Arabidopsis thaliana: one gene and its partner. The protein of the gene in region 1 interacts with the protein of each later gene in a pairwise test. Each region holds a gene or a part of one and is shown on either strand. Other genes may lie near its edges.

What was found.
Region 2: the proteins of AT3G60910 (region 1) and PSF1 interact in a two-hybrid assay, tested with the Arabidopsis thaliana proteins (one large-scale study listed by BioGRID).

Annotation. Positions count from the first base shown.
Region 1 is NC_003074.8:22,499,634-22,504,128, reverse strand, and holds AT3G60910 (S-adenosyl-L-methionine-dependent methyltransferases superfamily protein), read right to left. Parts: upstream 2,586-4,495; 5' UTR 2,403-2,585; coding exon 2,219-2,402; exon of another isoform or gene 2,101-2,218; coding exon 1,987-2,100; intron 1,888-1,986; coding exon 1,819-1,887; exon of another isoform or gene 1,724-1,818; coding exon 1,704-1,723; exon of another isoform or gene 1,618-1,703; coding exon 1,565-1,617; intron 1,452-1,564; coding exon 1,421-1,451; intron 1,310-1,420; coding exon 1,228-1,309; intron 1,153-1,227; coding exon 947-1,152; 3' UTR 802-946; downstream 1-801. Other genes in the region: AT3G60920 (beige/BEACH domain protein), read left to right, coding at 1-23, 302-361, 441-500, 580-801; FLA10 (FASCICLIN-like arabinogalactan-protein 10), read left to right, coding at 3,288-4,495.
Region 2 is NC_003070.9:30,157,047-30,161,624, forward strand, and holds PSF1 (partner of SLD five 1), read left to right. Parts: upstream 1-1,994; 5' UTR 1,995-2,429; coding exon 2,430-2,504; exon of another isoform or gene 2,505-2,753; coding exon 2,754-2,821; intron 2,822-2,913; coding exon 2,914-3,027; intron 3,028-3,110; coding exon 3,111-3,282; intron 3,283-3,383; coding exon 3,384-3,578; 3' UTR 3,579-4,017; downstream 4,018-4,578. Other genes in the region: AT1G80180 (uncharacterized protein), read right to left, coding at 11-427.

The DNA of each region.
Region 1 (4,495 bases):
ATATGAATAATGTGAAGGAGTTGGTAAGACTTGGTTCCTCCCAAAAACATTCAAACGAGTATCCATAATCGCCGTCCTTTGCTTTGCAAGTGAAGAGCCTAGCCATATTTATTTTGCTTCCTCATTTTCGTATATTATACGACCATCTATCTTTAGGGTTTATGAACTTACGGACAAACCCGGAATTGTTCAAAAGTTTCAGGAAAATTTATTGCAAATGGTAAATTCAGTTTGTCTTTGGCGTTTTAGTTACATTCGTTTTTCATGGTATCAACATTAATGTGATTTTTTTTATTTACAGAACACAACTGATCCAAACACTCACATGGTCTCAAGCTTTTCAAACCCAACTACCAGCGAGGTTTGCTACTGAATAAGCATTAGATAGACAACAAATTTCATTTAGGGATAAGTAATTATTTTGGTGATATCTTTTTTAGACTGAACCTGATTCAGACATGAACATTGTCTCTACCCCTTCAAATGCAACTACAAATCAGGTAATAACTCTAACGTTCCATTACATTTAATTTTCAAGTGCTTATGTATTTTAAAATTTTGAATTTTATTTTTGTTTAGATTGACACTGAATCTTCCGAGGCGGCTAACTATGAAAACAGCAACTCGTCTATCAAGACTTCTAAGAACACTTCAAAGATCACTAAATTGACCCCGACGTCAAAACGATCACTAACTTCATCGAAAGATAATGCAGCTCAAAAGTCATCTACAAAGCCTAAATTGTTGTCCAAGGCTGAGATAATAAAGGTTGATGTTTATTCGTATATTATGAGTTTATAGAGCAATTCTGAGACTCGGACCTATCAATTGGGATAAGATCACAAGACACATAAAATACAACAATAGATCGACTGGTCTAAATGGGGATCAAAAAGACAAACACACATGCACAATTTTGCATTGTTTGAGCCTCTGCGTGCCATCACTACAAAACATCCTCCATTAATGGGTATGAGGGTAGTTGAGCTTCTTCATCTTCATCCTTCTTCTTGCATATGTAAATAAAATGGGAATCAGGATCCTCCAGAACATAATCATGTGGCAGCATTCCCTCACTTGTTATAGGTATAGCTTCCATACAAGACTTTGCTGACGAGCTGCAACTTTCTGGCCTTTTAAATCCTGGTCTTGCTGCAAGAACACGGAAGGAATGAAGCTAAGAATACAATTTCAAAAGAAAATTTGTTGCAAAACATGGAAGCTTACGTATAATGTATAAGGAGATCTTCCAGTTGTACGCAGAACGAGTCAAATGAGGCATTCTCACTTTCGGATCACCGTAGGTTATCTACCAAACCACCACAACAAACACAAAATATCTTATATATCCTTCTAGTACCAGTGACAATGACTATGAACAGTTACAGACATAGAATGCAAGAGAAAGTATGTTTGTTACCAAAAAGTAGGTCCCTCCAGGTTTAATCAGCCTGCAATATGAAAAAAGAGAAGAGTTTTATTGAGAATATATATATTAAAAAAGAATCCAAAAACTGGCATCTATATGAGATGATCCAGGAGCAGCCATGATGATATTAGTGACCTGCTAACTTCACCCAACATTCTCGAAGCACTTAGAAGAGCATCACTGCCACACTGGAACCCACCGTATCACACAAAACAAGAAAACTTAAAAACACATGTAGACATGAACACGAGAAACAAAAGATCAGGTTCCGTACCATCAATGAATCAAGGGTTCCTACACAATCCAGCAGCCGCAACAACAGGTAACAATATATCACTTCTAAGCTTTTCACCATAAAAACAGAGTAATTGGTGGTTGCTACAACATACCTTTATCAATAATAGTGTCAAAGGAATCGTCTTCAAAGTAACTCATATCTCTAACATCCATTTGCATATCTGTTGGGTAAAAACAGAGTATAATAGGATAAAGCTTCTTACTTTACATATTTCTAAAGCTAAAGTAATATAAACTAGAGATGTGAAAAGAAGTGTTACATTTGAGCTGAGGAACAGATGCATATTTGGTTTGCATCATCTCAATAGCCACTGAAGAGATATCAACATTCATGATGTCCTCATACCCATCCTTCACCATATCCTCTGACATCACTACACCAAAGAGAAGAACAGGGCAATCACAGTGTATTAAATTTGGTTGCTGCTCAAGTCAAATTCAATCACTGGTACAGACTTCTTCAAATCTATTGGCAAAAGGAGAGAGAATTACGGGAGTTGCCACAGCCAACCATGAGGACTCGTGAAGAAGTAGAGACGAAGCTGCGGACAAAAGGGCGGAGAGAAGAGTAACATTGGTACCAGTCGAAAGAAAGCGCGTCTTGCACGTAACGAGCGTCCCAATAGAGAGCGTCTCCATAGTTGTAAGTGTTGCAGCTCGACACGTCCCTCTGCATCTTTCTCTCTCTCTCTAAAGATCCGATCTCAGATTCTGCGGCGGAGCTTTTTCTCTTCGTCGTTGTTTTTGACCAGCTTACGAAGTTTGGGCTTATTACAGGCCCAATACATAATCATGTGAAGCTGAAGAGTGACACGTGCTCACACATTGTTATTAGCCTCATAATTGGGCTCAAAGTAAGGAATTAAAGCCTCATCTCCGCCCATTAATTAATACGGAGTAATAGTTTACTGATTTGTGAAGGTTTATTTTATTTTTTTCTAATCAAATGATAAAACTTTTGCAGATTTTTACATGACAGTAGTAAACTACGTATTTTGATTTGTCGTTTTTATAAAAAATAATAATTTCTTTATCAGTGCTGTGTCGGGCAATTAGAACCTTCTTTCCATTTCTAAAAGATGTTACCAACTATTGACCAAGTATTTAAAACTGATAACGACACTTATTTATGAGTCTACTAAGTACTAACGATATTACTAGTTGTCAAGTAAAAATATCTAAATCCTTTTTATCTGAGTGCCTTTTACAAAATTTTGGATGATTATCTAATGAGCATCCATAAATAAGCTCAAATTTTAGTTAGCTACTTGACCATGGTTAACTCTAACAAGGATGATAAATTGATAATGATATAACGGTTCGGTTCGGTTGCTTTTGGAAGAGGACGAACCATAAAGAAAGAAGCTCAAAGCCCACCCATTTTCGTGATTACAGGCTTTTTAGCAAAAGGAAGCAGCACGTGTTCTCAAATTAACCATAGTTAACTCTTCAATATAACCATGGTTAACATTTAACCTCTTCTTCTTCTTATTAACTTCATCACTCTCTTTGTCTTCTCACTTTCTCTTCTCCACAGTTCAACTCAACCTTCCAAATTCCAATGGCGACATCACGAGCTTTCACTCTCTTCGCTTTCACATTATCTCTCCTCACCGTAGCTTCTACCGTCTCCGGCCATAACATTACTCAAATCCTCTCTGATACGCCGGAATATTCCTCATTCAACAACTACCTTTCTCAAACAAAACTCGCCGACGAAATCAACAGCCGCACTACAATCACCGTCCTTGTTCTCAACAATGGCGCAATGTCTTCCCTCGCCGGAAAACACCCACTCTCCGTCGTCAAAAATGCTCTCAGCCTCCTCGTCCTCCTCGACTACTACGATCCTTTAAAACTCCATCAGCTCTCTAAAGGCACAACTCTCACCACCACGCTTTACCAAACCACCGGACACGCTCTCGGGAACCTAGGATTCGTTAACGTCACCGATCTCAAAGGAGGCAAAGTCGGCTTTGGCTCCGCCGCTCCTGGCTCCAAGCTCGATTCCTCTTACACCAAATCCGTTAAACAAATCCCTTACAACATCTCCGTTCTCGAAATCAACGCTCCGATCATCGCTCCCGGAATCTTAACCGCACCTGCTCCTTCTTCCGCCGGAGTTAGCAACATCACCGGACTTCTCGAGAAAGCCGGTTGCAAAACCTTCGCGAATTTGCTCGTATCGAGCGGTGTTATTAAAACATTCGAATCCACCGTTGAAAAAGGCTTGACGGTTTTTGCACCGTCCGATGAAGCTTTTAAAGCTAGAGGTGTACCAGATCTGACGAATCTCACACAAGCTGAGGTGGTCTCGCTCCTAGAGTATCACGCCCTCGCTGAATACAAACCCAAAGGATCGTTAAAGACTAACAAAGACGCTATCTCCACTTTAGCCACTAACGGCGCCGGTAAATACGATTTAACGACGTCAACTTCCGGTGACGAGGTTATTCTCCATACCGGCGTTGGTCCGTCGAGACTCGCCGACACGGTGGTCGATGAGACACCTGTTGTTATATTCACTGTGGATAATGTGCTCCTTCCCGCTGAGCTTTTCGGAAAATCTTCATCGCCGGCGCCGGCACCGGAGCCAGTGAGTGCACCGACACCGACCCCGGCTAAGTCACCGTCTCCTGTGGAAGCACCTTCTCCAACCGCAGCTTCTCCGCCAGCACCACCGGTGGATGAATCTTCACCGGAAGGAGCTCCGTCAGACTCGCCGACAAGTTCAGAGAACAGTAATGCGAAAAACGCGGCGTTTCACGT
Region 2 (4,578 bases), on another chromosome or scaffold:
TAGTTCATGCCTATCTGGATCTACGCTTCGCTGGCCTTTTCCTCTGATTAACCTTCTTCCCCGGCTGTTTCTTCCCGAAGGCAGAGCAGCACCCAAACGCCGACAGTCTCGGCGACGGCGGGTCCACCGCCGGAGACACTCTCCCTGTGTTTCGATGGTGGCGGATGGCTCCTCCTCCGTTGGATCGACTCCTCTCCATACCTCCGTCAGTTCTGATAGGTTTGAGTCCTTCTCCGGCGATAGGTTTGGTTGTCTGATCCTGTACTTCCGACGTAATCAGCTTGGCCTGTTCGTCCTGTTGTAGAGTCTCGCCTTTCCGGTCGTTGGCCGCTTGTTGGCTTAGCTCGGCGATGAGACGATCGTCCCAGACTATACCCGAAGAGCCCTGTCGACGGAAAGAGATGGTGGATCTCTGAAGACCCGCCATGGACGGCGCTAACTGTTCCTCCTCCGTTTTTTTCTTCTTCTTTTACTCTGTTTTCGTCGTTTTTGATGTGTGTTGCTAAAAGTGGTTCATCATTGTGTTTCAGACTAGTTCATTTCTTCCTCCTCTTTCTTATCTCTTTATTAGAAGGCACTTGTGTCTTTTCTAATTAATTTTCTTTTGTCGTCTTATTATTTCAATTTTATATGTTTTTTTTCTTCTGGTTCTCGAATTATCCAACCAAATATAATCGCGATTATCATGTTTAGATGCGTAATCATTGTATTTTATTTGTTACGTATTTTAAACGGGAGAGAAAAAACTGGGTCAAAGCAGCGGGTAATTATGGGAGTAGAATAGTACAAACAACGTTTTTGGGTGGTATGTGTTGAAATTTCAATTATCTTTTTTTTTAACATTAAATTTAGCTATAGCCACTTAATTATCTGCCAAAAATGATTATTTTTCTTTTCACGTTTCAGGCAAAGATCATCGCATAGCATATAGTTTTATCAACCATAATCCAGCATGGCTTAATTTTTTTTAATATTTCTTAAGGAAATCAAGCGTTGGTGACTCGTCGTTGTTCATGCTTGATTTGGTTAGTTCAAAGTTGAAACTTACAAGTATTAGTAGATGACTGATTCATCGAGTTTTAAAATAATAATCACGCAAAACTCGAACCTAATATTTCCTGAAATATAATGGCTCAACTTTGAGAGGTGTGGATTATTTTATTTTGTAAGATATCTTGCTATATGGCTTGCTGGACCATCCCATTTGTGTAATGTGGAGACAATCCATTCATGTGCTACTTTTTTCATATGGACAACAAAATTTGCGTGTTCATATCGTAATTAATCCCCAATTAAATCTACATCGCAAATCTAATATACCCATGCATTTCAAATCTCGCTACAATTATGGAAGTCCTTGAGTTGATTATTGAAGCAGCTAAAACGTAAGCATGCGAAGAAAACGGCATTTAGCTTTAAAAATTTGATGATTGTCAGAAAGAGAAAGCAAATAATTGGAAAAATAAGAGCGTCTTATCCGTAAGTGTAGATTTGATGGAACACCAAATATTTTCTATCAATTTTTTTTGGTGATGGTTATTTTGGCAAAACCAACATGATCAACGGGTTTTTTTTTTGTTAATTGTTAGCCATCTAAAGATATAGTGCATATAAACAAAACAAAATAATAAGAATAAAAGAAAGTGACACAATGTCAATCGCATCAGTACCAGTCAAATGGATCATCCTTATCCTCAGACCCAAAAGATTTACTTACATTAGGGAGTAGTATTCGGATACATGTACACGCATATAACTTCCAAATGTTGAAAGATGTATAAAAACATGTTAGACATTTACCAGTGACTTAAAAAAATATAAGTGATTTATGGTAGTATATATCACACTATATTATGAGTCATGACACTCAAATTCAAAATCCGTTTAGTACAAAAGGTTACAAGTCTAGAATCGATTTTTGTAATTTTTTTAGTATATATGACATTGGTTTGACTGTGTTACAAAGTCAAAGTAAAATCCCAAAAAAAGAAAGAGGAATATTTTGGTTCTGAGAAAAGACATAAAAAAAACAATAGAGAAACCTTGTAAAATCCCGCCAAAATTTTCACAGAACCCCTAAAAAAGTTTGAGTGTTGCCGCCATCCATAGATTTATTCCACCATCTTCATCTCTGGAAATCCTTCGCCGCCGCGAGAATTGACATTGTTTTGATTGCATATAAATCTCCGCAACAGTATGGTACGTTTTGTTTAGATCTACGGTTTTGTTATCATCCGTTAATTCGGCGACATCAGCAACGATTTGCTTCATCCACAAACCGAATAGGTTCGGTTTAAACATAAGCCTGGGATTTGAGTCAATTATTTGCATTTGCCTACTTTTTTCAATTTTCTGGGCACGCCAGATGTTTGATGAATTGCTCGAATAGATAGATGTCAAAGTGAAGCGAGGAGACCCGCCGATTCGACATGTACGGGAGAAAAGGGTATCAGCTTATCAAAGATTTTGCCACCGGAGAGAAGGGTCAGCTCAAACCTTTCAACGTAAGACTTCAAGCTCCCACCTTTATGACACTAAATCTCTCAATTTATACAGGCTATTGAAATTTTTGAGTATCTGTAATCTAACGTATATCAATCTTGCAAGTTTGGCCAGTAGGTTTTGATTATAGGTGACGGAATGTTAGCAAATTTCCAGTCCTGGGTTGATAATATCCAATTCTGTAATTAGAAAGTATTATCTTGGTTAGCTATGAGGTAGATTAGTTCTTTAACCTCTTGTATTTCTAACAGAGCAAACTCTTTGATGAAACAATCGAAGAGTGTGACCAGAATCACCATCTTATCCAGTCCTTGATAAGGTATTGATCCCCTTTTTTACACTGTTGCATTTTTTCAATCCATCACAAAAGACTTACTTCTGATTCATTGAGGTTGATGTTTCCATTTACAGGAAAATGCAACAAGAAGGTTTGGATGTTCAGAACAACAGAAACGCTGACCACTATGGAGCACTAATTCACCACCTTGCTTTGATCCGGAACAAGCGCTGCCTCATGGCTTATGTGTGAGAACCACGTTTCCTATCAGTAACACTATATCTGGACACTCAATTTCTTAAAAATAGCTGCAATTGGTGTCGCTATGCAGGTACAACCGAGCAGAAATTGTGCGTGATTTGGCATGGAGAGTAGGGCTTGAACTTCTCGACCTTCCCTCTGAAATCCAAGAGAAGCTCACTACACTAGAGAAGGAATACTTCAAAAACCATTCGGTTGCTCTAAAATCATACATGGGAAAAGTAGGAATCGAGTTGAATGTCGTAAGTCCTCTTTCCACCACCCTGGCTTTTATTAATTAATTGGATTTTTCTTGTTTGGTGGACTTGTAACTAGTAATCTCCTCTTGATCCATTTCTTGAAGGATATGGTCCCTCCTAAAGATCCTTATATCAAGGTCAGAATTTTGGATGATATTGATGAAGGAATCGTGCTGAGTGACAAAACAACAAATTTTGCCCGTCATTCTATGCATTTCCTCAAACGTACTGATGCGGAACCATACATTGCTCGGGTCAGTCTTTTTCGTTATTCCTTCCCTAAAACTAGAATGATCTAAAGCCCATAAACTTCCACGAACTGAGAAATTCAAAGAATGAGCCTTGCTCAAATTCGCAGAGATGTAGATAGAACCTTGATTACAGCCTTCCCTAGCAGGTTTAATAGGAAAAAAGAAGACTGCTTAAGATAGATTATAACTGAAAAAACGAAACTATAGAATTCCTGAAAGATCTGAATAGTGATGCAAATAGAAGTTTTAGGTTTAGAATATGCGTGAAGTGTAATCTGAAGAATTGACTTTTGTCACATTTCTTGGTACCGTCAAGATTACATAAGGTCGAAACATTTCATAAACTGTGAGTGTATTGGATTCTTTGGTTTTCCATGTGATGTTTGTCATAGTATGCCAAAGGAGTTGCTAAGCAAATGCAGTCTGATTCTACTGCCTAGCTTAAAAGGGGTCTCGTGTCCCATCATTTGGATAAAGAGTTTCTAATTGTTGAGATGTGAATGGGATAACAGGGCCAAATGGAGGAGCTGACAGGATGATTGATCTAATCAGAAGCTGTGGTGGGCTCAGATGAATCACGGTCGGGTCTGTGATCAAAGAATGTAAGCTTACTTAGCCTTGTATAATTGTAAGACAGGAACATGAAACCAGAAACCTCATACTCAAACTCATGTAACAATTATTTATCTTACAAAGTTACTTCTGTAGTGCATAACATTCACTAGCAATAATGCAGTTTTGACAAGCTCAAAATTACCTTTTTTCCAATGGACAATCTTTCAAGGCTTCAATACTCAGTCTTTTTGTTACTTGCTGGCTTTTCACTATAGAAGTGAACCTGCAGCTAAAAAGATAAGAATCTGCCACAAATGCTGCAGAAAAATGAGAATATGTCATCTACAAAACATACCTCAAGATTAGCTTGTAAGATCTGAATAGTGATGAGGCATTTACTCGAACGATGATCATTGTCACATCTCTGATTAATGTAAACGATAAACGGATTTTTGATGTTTCCATATAGTTTGATATTGTCTCTTTCCTTAGG